Linked DNA regions of Caenorhabditis elegans. The protein of the gene in region 1 purifies or fractionates together with the protein of each later gene. This does not show direct contact. Each region holds a gene or a part of one and is shown on either strand. Other genes may lie near its edges.

Region 1 (7,314 bases):
TATTTGATAAAAACTGCATTTTTAATGATTTTTCCCCATTAAAATCGGCAAAAAACGGGATAAAACCTCAATTGTAAGTAAAAAATTTGAATTCCCGGGCTGCTAAACAACACGCGCTGTGGCGTACTAGCGGAGTGTCGTAGTTTTTGGCGGAAAATTGGATTATCGAGTGGTTTTAAGGCTTTTATCTCAATTTTTTGATATATTTTGCATTAAAAAAAGCTTCTGAACACAGAATTTTGGAATTTTGTAAAAAATATAGTGAAAAAAATTTTTACAAAAAATTTTTTTTTTTTGAAAAACATTTATTTTCAATGTAAAAGTACACAAATAATTATTTATACTCCTTAATTTCTGCATTTTTCTCCAAAAAACTCGAAAATTCAGAAATCAATCGATTTTTCGGCAATTCAAATGTGAATTCCTTGAAAGCAGTGCTATAGCCGATTTGTTTGAATCCTAGTTTCTTCTTGAATAGGCTCAGGCTTGGTGTGTTGTCATCGGTAATTTTTACGCAGAATTGCTCGATTTTCAGATTCTGAAAAATTGAAAATTTTCGAAAAAAATATTTTTTTTGCTCATTTTTCAAAACTGTCAAAAACCATGTCAAAATTCTTATTCTCCTCATTTTCAGCTTCAAAATGACCCCCAACACGACCATATTCCGTTCAATTTGACAACCGACACAGCTGATATCGGTGCTACAGTAACCCGCGTGGCGAGACCCAAAATTTTCAAATTGCGCGGAACCAGGACATGATGGGGGTCATTTTGACGCTGAAAGTGTGGAGAACTCGAATTTCAGCTCAAAATCGAGAAATTTTGAAGAATAAAATTTTTCTGAAAAACAAAAAAAAATTCAATTTTTTTTCGAACTAAAATTTTTTTAATTTTCAAAACTGTCAAAAATCATGTTAAAATTCATATTCTCCACGTCACCAGCTTTAAATTGACCCCTACAAGCCTATGTTCCGCGCATTTTTCCCACCGACACAGCTGATATCGGTGCTACAGTAACCCGCGTGGCGAGACCTAAAATTTTCAAACTACGCGGAACCAGTGCGTGATGGGGGGTCATTTTGAAGCTGGGAGTGAGGAGAACTCGAATTTTTATAAAAGAAATTAGTTAGGAGAAATTTGACAAAAAAAATTCTGAAAAAAAAAATTGTTTCAGAATTTTTTTTCAAAATTTTTTTTTCAACTTTTACATCCAACAAAAACTTTTTTTTAGAAGAAAAAAAGTATTTTACCTCATACGCCCACGCAATAATAACCCTCACAGCCTCCTCTCCAATGCCTTTTCCTCTGCCACGTGGCTCCGCTATCATAACCTCTACCTCACCAGTGATGACGTCATCGCTAGGGTTTTCAGTGGACGGTGACGTGGAAATGAACAAATTCACATCGCCAAGCATGTGATCTACCTGAAATTTCGGAAAATTTCCAAAAAAAAAATCGGAAAAAAACACACTTTTCTTTTCGAAAATGCAAAAATTTTTGATAAAAACAGAATTTTTAGTGATTTTTCACATTGAAATCGGCAAAAAAGTGTAAAAAACCCCAATTTTAAGTCAAAAATTTGAATTCGCGGGTGACCAGCGCTAAACAACACGCGCTGTGGCGTACTAGGAGTGTCGTAGTTTTTGGCGGAAAAGTCGATTTTCGAGTGGTTATAATGCTATTTTCCCAATTTTTTGGTCTATTTTTAATTCAAAACGGTTCTGAGCCCGTGAATTTCAAATTTTTGGAGGCAAAAACTTGAAAAAAACGGGGTTTTCCTGAAAAATCCCTACTTCTTCTCCACTTTCATTCATTTCAAGAACGATAAACGTTAGTTTATCCTCATCATTTCGCCAAGTTTTCTGCATTTCATATTCCTCATCCAACGACAATTGTTCAGAGCCGGTGAGTCGGCGAATCTCCTCGTTTTCCATCCATTTGTGGTATTTTGCAACGTGGCACGGCTCGTACGGCACTAAAATGCACTTTTTTGCGACGATTTTCACGTTGGAATTGAGTTTCATTGCCTGGAATATCGAAAAATGCGAGAAATTCGAGGAAAATCATGTAAAAACGCCGGAAAATGAAAAAAATTATATAAATTCCCGTGGCCGCGGCCTAGAAATCCCAACTGTTTCTCACTGGAGCGCGCTTGCTCGCTCCACGGGCAAATTTGTTTTCAGCCATTTTTAGTGATTTTCCTCTGAAAATCCGTGGTTTTTCACGATTTTTTCGCTTAAAATATTGAAAAATCATGAATTTGTATGCGAAAATCCATTAAAAACCTATTTTTCACCTCAAAAACCTCGATTTTCAGGTCGAATTGAGCCATGCTCGGAAGAACGTGCCAAAAGCTTCAGGCAGCCGCGCCGATTGTGAGTTATTAGTGGAAAATTGTCAATTTCGACTGAAAAAGCTGGAAAAGTCGTGGAAAATCAATCAAAATCGCTGAAATTTTTTTTTCTGCGAAAAAATCCCGATTTTTGCCAGATTTTCACCAATTTCCGCGAAAAATCACTGAAAAAAATTTCAAAATTTCCAGCAATCATCGATTCGTGGAAAAGCACGTGGCGTCGTTGTTCAAAGCTATTCTGCAGACGTTTTGCCGTACAAAGGGCAGCCAGCAGGCACAAAGTCGAATCGTGTGAAGCTTGAAGCCGGAAAAACGTATCATTGGTGCTCATGCGGGTTGAGCATCACTCAGGTGCTTATTTTCGAGCATTTTCTCATGGAAATCGTCGAAAAACAGCTAAAATGCCGAAAAAATCGCGGAAAATTGATAAAATTTAGCTATTTTAGGCTTAAAATGGCGCCTATGTGCCTTTAAAGTCGTGATGAAACCCAAAATTTTGTTAAACGTGAATGCTAGTGAAAAAATTACAAAAAAAGCTCATTTTTGCTCAAATTTTAATCAATATTCTAGAAAAATCCAACATTTTTCGAAAATTACCCTAATTTTCCCGGAAAAAGCTCAGACGGTCTATTTTTGTTACGAAAAACGCTGGAAATAAAGATTTTTTGCGATTTTCTGCTCAAAAATTTGGTTATTGCAGCTATAATTAACGAATTTTGCCCTAAAATTAGAATTCCGGTCATTTTTCGCGTTTAAATATTTTTAATCACATTTCTAGTGATTTTGCCCAAATTTTCAGTTAAAAATTAAGTTTTTCACTCATTTTTACCCCTAGAAATTGGTTTTTTCGCTCAAAATAGATTGGCGGCCTAACTTTTGGGATTTCTAGGCCACCAATCTGAAAACGAAAAATCTTCTAAAAATCGATAATTCCCCTGTGACTTGTGCGTTTCTCAGATTTCTGGCATAAATACTGTGTTTATTCACATTTTCAGTCTTAAATTGGCTGAAAATGTGAATAAATACCGTATTTCTGCCAACAATTTGGCAATAGAGCACATTTGTCACTCGGACATGCGGAAGCTATGCCCAAATTTTCAATGATTTTCACACATTTTCACACATTTTCAGTACAAAATTCGAGTTCTCCATCACATTTTCCCCCCCTAACCCGATTTTCAGTCAATTTAGACTAATTGTCGTAAAGTTCGGTGCCAAGTACGCAAGGCACTCGGTGTTTGCGTACTTTTGGGACTACCGTACCCCTCGAAATTCAAATTTAAATCTAGAGACCCAGAAAAAGGGTGCTAGGCGTGTGAAATTCGACGACGATTTTAACACTGAAAAATGCCTTAAAAAACCGGAAAATTCCTGAAAAATCCAAAAATTTTTTGCAGCCATTCTGCGACGGAACCCACAAAACGCCCGGATTAACCAACGTTCGCCCCGTCAGTTTTCAAGTTGAAAAAACTGGAATTTATCCAATGTGTGACTGCAAACAGACTGGAACTCGACCAATTTGCGATGGAAAACACGCTGATGTACGGGGAAAATGGGGAAAATTTCGAAGATTTTCACCTAAAAATCGAATTTCTCGCAAAATTTGAGATAAAAACTGGAAAAATCCCATTTTAATGAAATTTGGCTCAAAATTATGCAAATTCTGCTTGTTTTGACCAAAAAAATCCAATTTTTAAATAAATTCGTCAGAAAATCAATTTTCCGCCAAAAAACCCATGAAACTTCAAGAAAATTCAATTTTCCACAAAATTCGCCACTAAAATCATGAAATTTCAGGATTTTTGACCTAAAAATGGCAATTTTTCAAAAAAAAAAATCGTGATTTGCCACAAAATTTCAGTCAAAATCCAATTTTTAGCTCAAAAATTATGGAATTTAACGGAAGAGTCCAATAAATTCATGAAAAACTAAATTTTTGGCTTAAAAAATCGATTTTTCACTCACATTTGCTCAAAAATCATGAAATTTCCACATTTTCGACCTAAAAACGGCATAAAATGCCAATTTCCAGCCAAAAGCCAATTTTTAGCTGAAAAAATTGTGAATTTTACCAAGAAAATCATTAAATTCATGAAAAACTGAGTTTTTGGCTCAAAATTATCGATTTTCACTTACTTTGTCCCAAAAATCATGAAATTTCCAGATTTTTCACTTAAAAATGTCATTTTTCAGCCAAAAAGCCACTTTTTTGCTCAAAAATTGTCAATTTAACGGAAAATATCATAAAATTCATGAAAAATTGATTTTTCAGCTTAAAAATGTCGATTTCTTACTAATTTTATCTCAAAAACCACGAAATTTTCAGATTTTTAACGTAAAAACGTCATTTTTCAACCAAAATCCAGAATTTTAGCTCAAAAATTGCGAATTTAACGGGAATTATCATAAAATTATAAAAAATTCAATTTTCACTAATTTTGGCTAAAAAATCATGAATTTTTATGATTTTTGTTTTAAAACGCCAATTTTCAGCCAAAAATCCAAATTTTTAGCTCAAAAATTGCGAATTTAACGGGAATTATCATAAAATTTATAAAAAATTCAATTTTCACTAATTTTGGCTGAAAAATCATGAATTTTTATGATTTTTACCCTAAAAACCTCAATTTTCAGCCAAAAATCCCAATTTTTTCAGGTATCCAAAGCTCCACGTGATCTAAACGCTACGAGAATGGTTGCATTCGACGAATCGCCAGTTTACGCAGGAGTTGCTCAAAAATTGGGATATAAGCCGAAAAATGGTGGATTCCAGTAGTCCGGAGACTACGCTGAGACAGCAGCCGAAATCAAAAAAAGTACCAGAAAAACTGAAAGCAGTAGATTTTTTTTTATTGGAAAAAATTTTTTAGGGGTTTTTTCCCGATTTTTAATGTGTGAATAAAGTAATTTTTAAGTGAAAAATCGATTTTTCTGGTGCAAAGAAATCGATAATTTCGGAAAAAATCGATTTTATTACCGGAAAGTCGATAATTTTCGATTTTTTCGGTGTTTGCGTACTTTTCGAGGTACAGTACCCCCCCTAATTTTCAGGAAAATCGATTTTTTTTTCGACTAAAAATCGATAATTTTTGGCAATTATCGATTTTTGAACAGAAAAAAACACGAAAATTTTTGGAATTTCCAGGGTTTTGCGTACTTTTCAAGGTACAGTCCCCCCTAGAAGTTCATATTTTTTAATTTCCCGGGTTACTGTAGCTGCTGGAAAAGTACGCAAACACTGAGAAATAATCCAAAAATTATCGATTTTTCGGTTCAAAAATCGATAATTTCGGAAAATATCGATTTTAGAAACGAAAAAACAAAAATTTCCAATATTTTCAGGTTTTGAACTGCAAAAATTCAACTTTATCGTATTTTGCGTAGTACTTTTGGGGCTACAGTAACCCCCGGGAAATTTGAAAATTCGAATTTTCGAGTTCTGAACTTTAAAAATATGCGAAAAATGGAATATTTGTATTGGTTTTCTGAAAAATTTCGATTTTTGTACTGAAAAAACCGAAAATTTGGCAATATTTCGGTGTTTGCGTACTTTCGGAGCTACAGTACCCCCTAGAATATCAGAATTTCAAAAATATTGATTTTTCGACCGAAAATTCAATTTTTTTTCAATTTTCGGGTTACTGTAGATTGAAAAGTACGCAAACACCGAGAAATTACAAAAATTATCGATTTTTGTACCGAAAAATGAAACGTTTTGGAATTTTCGGTGCTCGCGTACTGTTCCAGCTACAGTAACCGGAAAATTTTAGAAATTTCCGGAAAAGTGGTTCAAATCTGTTGAAAATCTTTTTTTCGGATCAAAAATCGATAATTTTTAGATTTTTCGGTGTTTGCGTACTTTTGGAGCTACAGTAACCCGAAAAATTCGAACTTTTCGCATAAAAAATCGATAATTTGTGAAATTATCGATCTTTGTACCGAAAAATTTGAAATTTTCCAATTTTTCACATTTTAAACTGCAAAAATTCAAATTAATCGTATTTTGCGTACTTTTGGGGCTACAGTAACCCCCGGGAAATTTGAAAATTCGAAGTTCTGAACTTTAAAAAATGCGAAAAATGGAATTTTTGTATTGGTTTTCTGAAAAAACTACGATTTTTGTGCCGAAAAATCGAAAAGTGGGCAATTTTTCGGTGTTTGCGTACTTTTCGAGCTACAGTAACCCGAAGAATTTGGAGTTTCCTAAAAAAAACCGAATTTTTCGTATCAAAAAATCGATAATTTGAGAAATTTTGCAAATAATTGATTTTTGAACTGAAAAATTCGAAAATTTCTCATTTTTCCAGACTTTTGGGGGGCTACAGTAACCTGAAAATTCGAATTTTTCAGAAAATTTCGAAAAAAAAAATTTTTTTTTTGGTTTTTTTCTGCAAAAATATTGATTTTTTCGGAAAATTTTTTAGTTTTTTCAGTTTTTCATCAATATTTCAACCAACAACACACACTTAAAAAATCAATAATAAATAAAATTTTAAAAAATTCGAATTAATAATCATCGTCAGCGGCGGCGGAGGTGGCAGCAGGACCCCTCATTCTCTTCTCGGCGAGCTCTCCTTCGGTGCCAAATTCGTAATAGTGTGGAGCCAATTCGTAAAGCCATTCAGGCTCAATAACTGTGACGTCACGGATCGAATCCTGCATCACTTCGGTGAAGATTACCCTGAAAAAAAAAACTTTTTTTTTTCATCGAAAAATGATTTTTTAATCAAAAATTTGAATTTTCCACGCTCCCAGCTTCAATTTGACCCCCAACATGCCCATATTCCGTTCAACTTGACCCACCGACACAGCTGAAATCGGTGCTACAGTAACCCGCGTGGCGGGACCCAAAATATGAAAAGTGACGGAATCAGGGCATGATGAGGGTCATTTTGAAGCAGGGAGTGAGGGGGGAATTCAAATTCGAAAATTGTTTCTCGTCGGAAAAACAGAAAAATTGC
Region 2 (6,919 bases), on another chromosome or scaffold:
TGCATTTTAGGCCAATTTTCGACGTTTTCGAGCAAATTTTGAGTTTTTTTGAGCGAATTTTGAGCGGCTTTCGAGTCCTTTTAAGCAAATGCTCAGTTTTTCGAATAATTTTTGAGTTTTTGAGCCAATTTTTAGCTTTTTAATCAAGTTTTTAGCATTTTTGAGCAAATTTTGAGTTTGTTAGTGCATGTTTAGAGCATTTTAGAGGAAGTTTCGAGTTTTTTGAGCAAATTTCGAGCTTTTTAGAGCAAATCTTAAACATTTTTGAGCAAATTTCGAGCATTTTCGAACTAATTTCGAAAAATTTGAAGCAAATTTTGAGCAGTTATGCACAAAGAGGCGCCAGTTCACAATAATAGGTGAATATGACCGAATTTCGCGAAAAAACCGCTCAAAAATTCGAAAAAATGGGTCTTTTTTCGAAATTTTAACTTAAAAATCGATTTTCTCACGTTTTTTCTCATTTTTTATCGTTTAAACTACATAAAAATGCATTTTAGGCCAATTTACGACGTAAAAAGCCGTTTTCTATGTGAAAAAGTGTTAGAAAATCCAATTTTAAAGTTAAAATTTGAAAAAAAAACGAAAAAAAGAAACCTAAGTCTGAAGAAAGGCCCATTTTTTTTTGCAATTTCCCAAAATTTCTAATTTTTTTCCAGATCCTCCACCCCCGCAACCCATCTGGAAATGGAAGACACCGCTTCCTACTCGGTCTCCAACAATGACGTCACTTTTGCGCGAAAAAAGAACTACGGAGCCGAATCTTCAAGCGATACTCGTCCACTTTTACAGCTCCGTGACGCCGATAACGAGGAGAATAAATATAAACGGCGCCCGACGATGGATTGGATGCGCGGGCTCTGGAGAGCAAAACATGGCGGCTCCGGGGTCCCACAGGAACGGGCTTCCGCGAAAAAAATCGCGCTTTTCGTGATTTTCCTGGCCGTTTTGGCTTTGATTACGGTTGGATTTTAAAAAGCGACTTTTATAGACTCAAAAACGCCAAAAAAATATTTTTTCCCTGAAAAAATGGCCTAATTTTAGCTAAAATACATCAATTTCGCCGACTTTTCCGTGTTGCATCTGTCGGAAATTCGCTTTTATTTGATTTTATCACAGTTTATTTTCAATTTTTATCGTTTTTCTCACGTTTTTTTCGTTATTTAGTGTACATTTGAAGCATATAAACCGAAAACGACGTGAGGGCGGAGCCTAAACCGCAATCCTGCGGCGCGATGTTTCGCAACTCCACCGCGCGACTATTTTTTACAAGTTTTTAAGTTTTTTTTCGCATTTTTCGAATAAAATTTCCAGTATATCGTGATTTTTTCGAGATATTTCGATAAAATCTCATGAAAAAAAAATTTCGACTGACAAAAAAACAGCGCGGCGGAGTTGCGAAATCGCGCGCCGCAGAATTGCGGTCCAGACCCCGCCCACAATTTTTTGCGCTCAACGTCTGCCGTGTGGCTTAAAATGTACATTAAATAGCGAAAAAATGTGTAATAAACAATAAAAATATAAAATAAACGATGAAATTTCATGAAAATAAAATATAAGTCAATTTCCGACCGCTGCGACACGGAAAAGTCGGCGAAATTGGTGTATTTTAGCTAAAATTGAGCGATTTTGAGTATTTTTAAGCGAATTTTGAGCTTTTTGAGCAAATTTTGAGTGTTTTTAATCAAATTTCGCAAATTTTGAGTCATTTTGATCAAATTTTAAGGCTTTTTGAGCAAATTTATTGTCTTTTTGAGCAATTTTTTGAGTATTTTAGAGCAATTTTTGAGTATTTTTGAAGGAAATGTTAAGGCTTTTTGATCAAAGTTTGACTTTTTTTGAGTGAATTTTGAGTATTTTTGAGCGAATTTTATGGCTTTTTAAGCAAATTTTGAGTGTTTATGAGTCTTATCAAGCAAATTTAGATTCTAACTTCATTTAATTCCAAATAAATTGTATTTTTCCAGATTATAATGGTGATGAAGCGTGCCGGATACAGCGGCGAGCACTCATCGGACCCCCTTTTCGATCCAATGGCCAATCCGAATATTCGCGTCGCCGTCGAAGATTCTCGTCTTCCACACGTCTAAAAAATTTTTTTTTTTGAAAAAAATGTGCATATCCTTCCCTTTCTGTGTAATATTCAATGTCTACTCATTCCCCAACGAAAAAAAAAGTTTTTCGAAAAATTTTTTATTTTTACTTTCGCCTGCTAATGATGCTAACAAACGGGATTTTTTCTGATTTTTTTCGATTTTTTTCGCTAAAAACTAGCTAAAACTAGCTAAAACTTGGTTGTAATTAATTATTAATTATTTATTCTTTTTTTTTGCCCTATTTCTTGTATATTCGGTGGTTTAAATGGTATTTATTGATTTTTTTTCCTCTAAAAATTGAAATTCGGTTAATTTTCTACCGAGATTTATATTTATTTTCTCTCAATTTTTCGGAAAAAATTTCAGGAAGTAATTGCAATTTCAGAGCACCATGCATCGCGTCGGTGGACAAATTGTCCGCGGAGTGTCGAAGGCTCAACAGAAGAGATCGCTTTCGGTGGCGGCTCCGGCTCCACCGAAAAAGGTGAAAAAACTGGAATTTTCGGCGGAAAAATTGAAGAAAAATGGATTTGGCAAAAAAATAACGAATTAACTAGCGAGAAATTCAAAAAAAAAGCTTAATTTCATCTACAATCTCCAATTTTCCATCATTTTCCATTTAAAATTAGTGCCAGAATATAGAAAATCGCTCGATTTATCGGAAAATCACTTTGATTTTAGCTGAAATGTTGGAGAAAGCGCTCAAAAAGACAGTTTTGAGCTTTTTCTCAACTGTTTCATCCGAAATTAATGTGATTTTCTCGATGAATCGAGTGATTTTCTATATTTTGGCACTAATTATTAATTGAAAATTTTACAAAATACATGGTGCAATGATGTTTTACTAAAATCAAAAATGTTTTCGTTTTTCAATTAAAAAAATCGAAAAATTCCGTTTTTCGGTTCGAAAAATCAAAAATTTTTAGATTTTTCCTTTAAAAAACGGAAAATTTAGTTTTTTTAATTTCCGAAAAAAGAACAAATCGAAAAAGTACGTTATTTAATTTAAACAAAAATCTAAATTTCTTCGTTTTTCAATTGAAAAAAAAATCGTTATTTCCTGTAAAAAAATCAAAAATTTAGTTTTTCGGTTCAAAAATCGGAATTTTTTCGATTTTTCCTGTAAACATCGAATTTTTTTTTAAATGCTCGATTTTCTCTGACAATTTTTTTTACAAAAAAATAAAAATTATTCGATTTTTCCTGTAAAAAATCTAATTTTTTTTTTCAATTAAAATGATCGAAACATTTCGTTTTTAAATTTATCAACAAAAAAAACATAAAATGAAAAAAGCACGTTTTTCAATTAAAAAAAAATCGAAAAATTACGTTTTTCAATTTTAAAAAATCTAATTTTCCTGTAAAAAATCTAAAAATTTAGCTTTCAGTTCAAAAAATCAGAATTTTTTCGATGATTTTTCCTGTAAAAAATCGAAAATTCGTTTTTTTTTCAATTTTTAAAAATATATCGTAAATATATATTTTTCGATTTTCCGGAACCTAAAAACCCAACATTTTTTTCAATTAAAAAAAAAAAAAAACGAAACAAATTTCTTCCATTTTCCGAAAACAAAAAACTTAAAAAAAAAATTTTTTTTCGATTTTCAAATAAAAAAAATCGAAATTTTTCGATTTTCCCTGTAAAAATCAACAAAAAAACCACTAAAAATCACCTCATTTTCTTCCAGGTCGAAGTCTTCATCGACGACAAAAAAGTGCTCGTCGACCCGGGAATGACGATTCTCCAAGCGTGCGCGCTCGTCGGCGTCGACATCCCACGCTTCTGCTATCACGACCGTCTCTCAATTGCCGGAAACTGCCGAATGTGTCTGGTAGAGGTGGAGAAGTCGGTGAAGCCTGTCGCATCATGTGCGATGCCTGTCATGAACGGAATGAAAGTCAAAACCAACTCGGATTTCGTGAAAAAAGCTCGCGAAGGGGTGATGGAGTTCATGCTCAACAACCATCCACTCGACTGCCCGATTTGTGATCAAGGTGGCGAATGTGATCTACAGGATCAGGCGATGAATTTCGGATCCGATCGTGGGCGGCTTCAGTCGAGATTCGATGGAAAACGGGCTCTCGAGGATAAGAATATCGGGCCGTTGGTGAAAACTGTGATGACTCGATGTATTCAGTGTACTCGATGTGTCCGATTCGCTAATGAAGTGGCCGCTTTTCCGGATTTCGGCACCACCGGACGAGGACAAGATCTTCAAATTGGCACCTACGTCGAGAAATTTTTTGCTTCAGAGCTCTCTGGGAATATTATCGATATTTGTCCGGTCGGAGCTCTTACCAGCAAGCAGTACGCGTTTACGGCCCGGCCCTGGGAGACTAGAAAGACTGAAAGTGTTGATGTGATGGATGCGACCGGATCGAATATTGTGCTTTCGCATCGGACTGGCGAGCTTCTGCGGGTTATTCCGAAAATCAACGATGTACGGAGTTTTGAAACGAATTTTTTGGAAGACATAGCTTTGAAAATTTTGAAGAAGAATCGATATTTTTCGAATGTCGAAAAAAAAATTGTATTTTTGGCCATTTTTCACTTTTTTTGGAGAAAAAATCGATATTTTTCAATTTTCTCTGAAAAAAATCGAAAATTTACAGATTTTTTGAATTTTGATAATTAAAAAGTTGAAAATTGTGTAGTCTAGTTTGGAACAGGGGTGTGCGGCAAATGGAAAAAATTGCCGAGCTCGGCAAATCGGCAATTGCTGGTTTTTCAAAATTTGCCGAGCTCGGCAAATTCGGCAAATCTCTTTTTTCAATATTTGCCGAGCACGGCAAATTCGGCAAATTTGCAGAGCTCGGCAAATTCGGCAAATTCGGCAAATTTGCCGTGCTTAACAAACTCGGAAAAATTTGATATTTTTTATGTTTTGTGGAGCACCAAAACTACTGAATTCTTAACACACATCTGGTTTCTGAATAAGTTCCGCGTAGTATGTCTGTTTAAGCATCAAAATAGCTCAATTTTGTGTCATTTTACTAAATTTTTGGCTAAAAAATCAATAGTTTTATTCAAAATTGTACTGTCAAATTTTTCACGTGTGCGGCAAATTTCGAAATTTGCCGAGCTCGGCAAATTCGGAAAATCTACTTTTTTGAAAATTGCCGAGCTCGGCAAATCGGCAATTGCTGGTTTTTTTAAATTTGCCGAATTCGGCAAGTCGGCAATTTTCGGCAAATCGGCAAATTTGCCGCACACCCCTGGTTTGGAATAAAAAATTGTTCGGCAACATTTTACTTTTTATGAATTTTTAATGCTTTTTGAGCTGTTATCGGTAAAAATCGATTTTTTTTTCAGAGAAAATCAAAAAAAAAATCTAATTTTCTGAAAATAACTTAAAAAGCTTATTTTCGATAAATAAATTCATTTAAAGTAGATATTTGCCGGAAAATTTTTTTCCGAACTATTATACAACTTTCAATTTTTTTTTCCGATTTTTTTCCAGAGAAAATCGAAAAATATCGAATTTCAAAAGAAAAAACATAATTTTCTTCAAAAAAGTGGAAAATTACCAAATTTTCCCAATGCGAAACAGAGCTCAGAAAATTTTCAAACGACTAGACTTTAAAAATGAGCAAAAAACTGATTTTTTATCGATTTTTTCAGAGAAAAAATGTTACTTTTTGTATTTCCGGGGAAAAAAACTATTTTTTTTCAAATTTTCAAATTTAGGTATATAACAATTCGAAAACTAAGAATTTTCGATATTAAAATAAAAAACTTACAATATTCTTCGAAAAAAAGATGAAAAATGGCCACATTTTCAGCTATTTTACGAAAATTAAATTTTTTCCTTGAAATACAGAAAATTTTTTGATTTTTACGAATCCCTGTTTTTTAAGGTGTTGTTTCAAAATTTACCGGAAAATTTCGATTCCGTAGTGCTCCGACAAAAAAAACGAAAAAAAACCGAAAAAATGTCAGAAAAATTCGAAAATGCGAATTTTTTTTTCCGTTTTTTTGCAAAAACAAAAATTGAATCTGGAAAATCGGAAAATTTCACTTTTTCGAGTTGCTACAAATCGAAAAAAAATTTCTTAAAATAAATGCGATTTTTCCGTTAAAAAAAACCAAGAAGCATATAATTTTGGCCCCATTTTTCCTATAATTTTTTGAAGAAAATTATATGTTTTTGCTCATTTTCATAATTTTCGCGAGCTCGATAATTTTCGGATTACCAAAAAATTTTTGATTGCGTAATGATTTCTACTAAAAAAAAAAAACGAAAAATAAATCCGAAAAAACCAAATTTTGCGCCGCAATTTTCGGCCTTTTTTCGACCCCAATTCCCCAATTTTTTCCAGGACATTAACGAAGAATGGATCGGAGATCAGTCGCGTTTCGCAGTGGACGGCCTAAAAGTCCAACGCCTTCTCACACCAATGATCCGCGGTGCCGACGGTCAACTCAAGCCAGCCACCTGGGAAGAGGCTCTTTTCACCGTTGCCGCCAAGCTCCGCGAGACGCCAGCCGAGCAGAAGGCCGCCGTCGCCGGAGGCCTGAATGACGTCGAGTCCCTGGTCGCGCTGAAGGATCTGTTCAACCGATTCAACAGCGAAAACGTGATGACCGAAGAGGAATTCCCGGATGTTGGTAGCGGTGGCTCGGATCTTCGTTCCAACTACGTCTTCAACGATGGGATCGCCAGTGTCGAGAACGCCGACGCCATCCTTCTCGTCGGAACGAATCCCAGATTCGAGGCGCCGACGCTGAACGCAAGGATCCGTAAATCCTTCCTGTACAGTGATGTTCAGGTCGGAGTGATCGGAGCCGAGACGGAGCTCACCTACGAATACGATTACCTCGG

What was found.
Region 2: the proteins of cisd-3.2 (region 1) and nuo-5 fractionate together in Caenorhabditis elegans (co-fractionation; one large-scale study listed by BioGRID). This does not show direct contact.

Annotation. Positions count from the first base shown.
Region 1 is NC_003281.10:1,538,176-1,545,489, forward strand, and holds cisd-3.2 (Iron-binding zinc finger CDGSH type domain-containing protein), read left to right. Parts: upstream 1-2,317; 5' UTR 2,318-2,330; coding exon 2,331-2,375; intron 2,376-2,542; coding exon 2,543-2,704; intron 2,705-3,750; coding exon 3,751-3,894; intron 3,895-5,009; coding exon 5,010-5,129; 3' UTR 5,130-5,273; downstream 5,274-7,314. Other genes in the region: Y67D2.5 (N-acetyltransferase 9-like protein), read right to left, coding at 335-538, 1,251-1,424, 1,794-2,024; ddx-35 (putative ATP-dependent RNA helicase DHX35 homolog), read right to left, coding at 6,860-7,034.
Region 2 is NC_003283.11:2,696,491-2,703,409, forward strand, and holds the start of nuo-5 (NADH-ubiquinone oxidoreductase 75 kDa subunit, mitochondrial), read left to right. Parts: upstream 1-2,481; 5' UTR 2,482-2,487; coding exon 2,488-2,580; intron 2,581-3,784; coding exon 3,785-4,537; intron 4,538-6,416; coding exon 6,417-6,919. Other genes in the region: Y45G12B.2 (Zinc finger protein-like 1 homolog), read left to right, coding at 660-963, 1,968-2,090.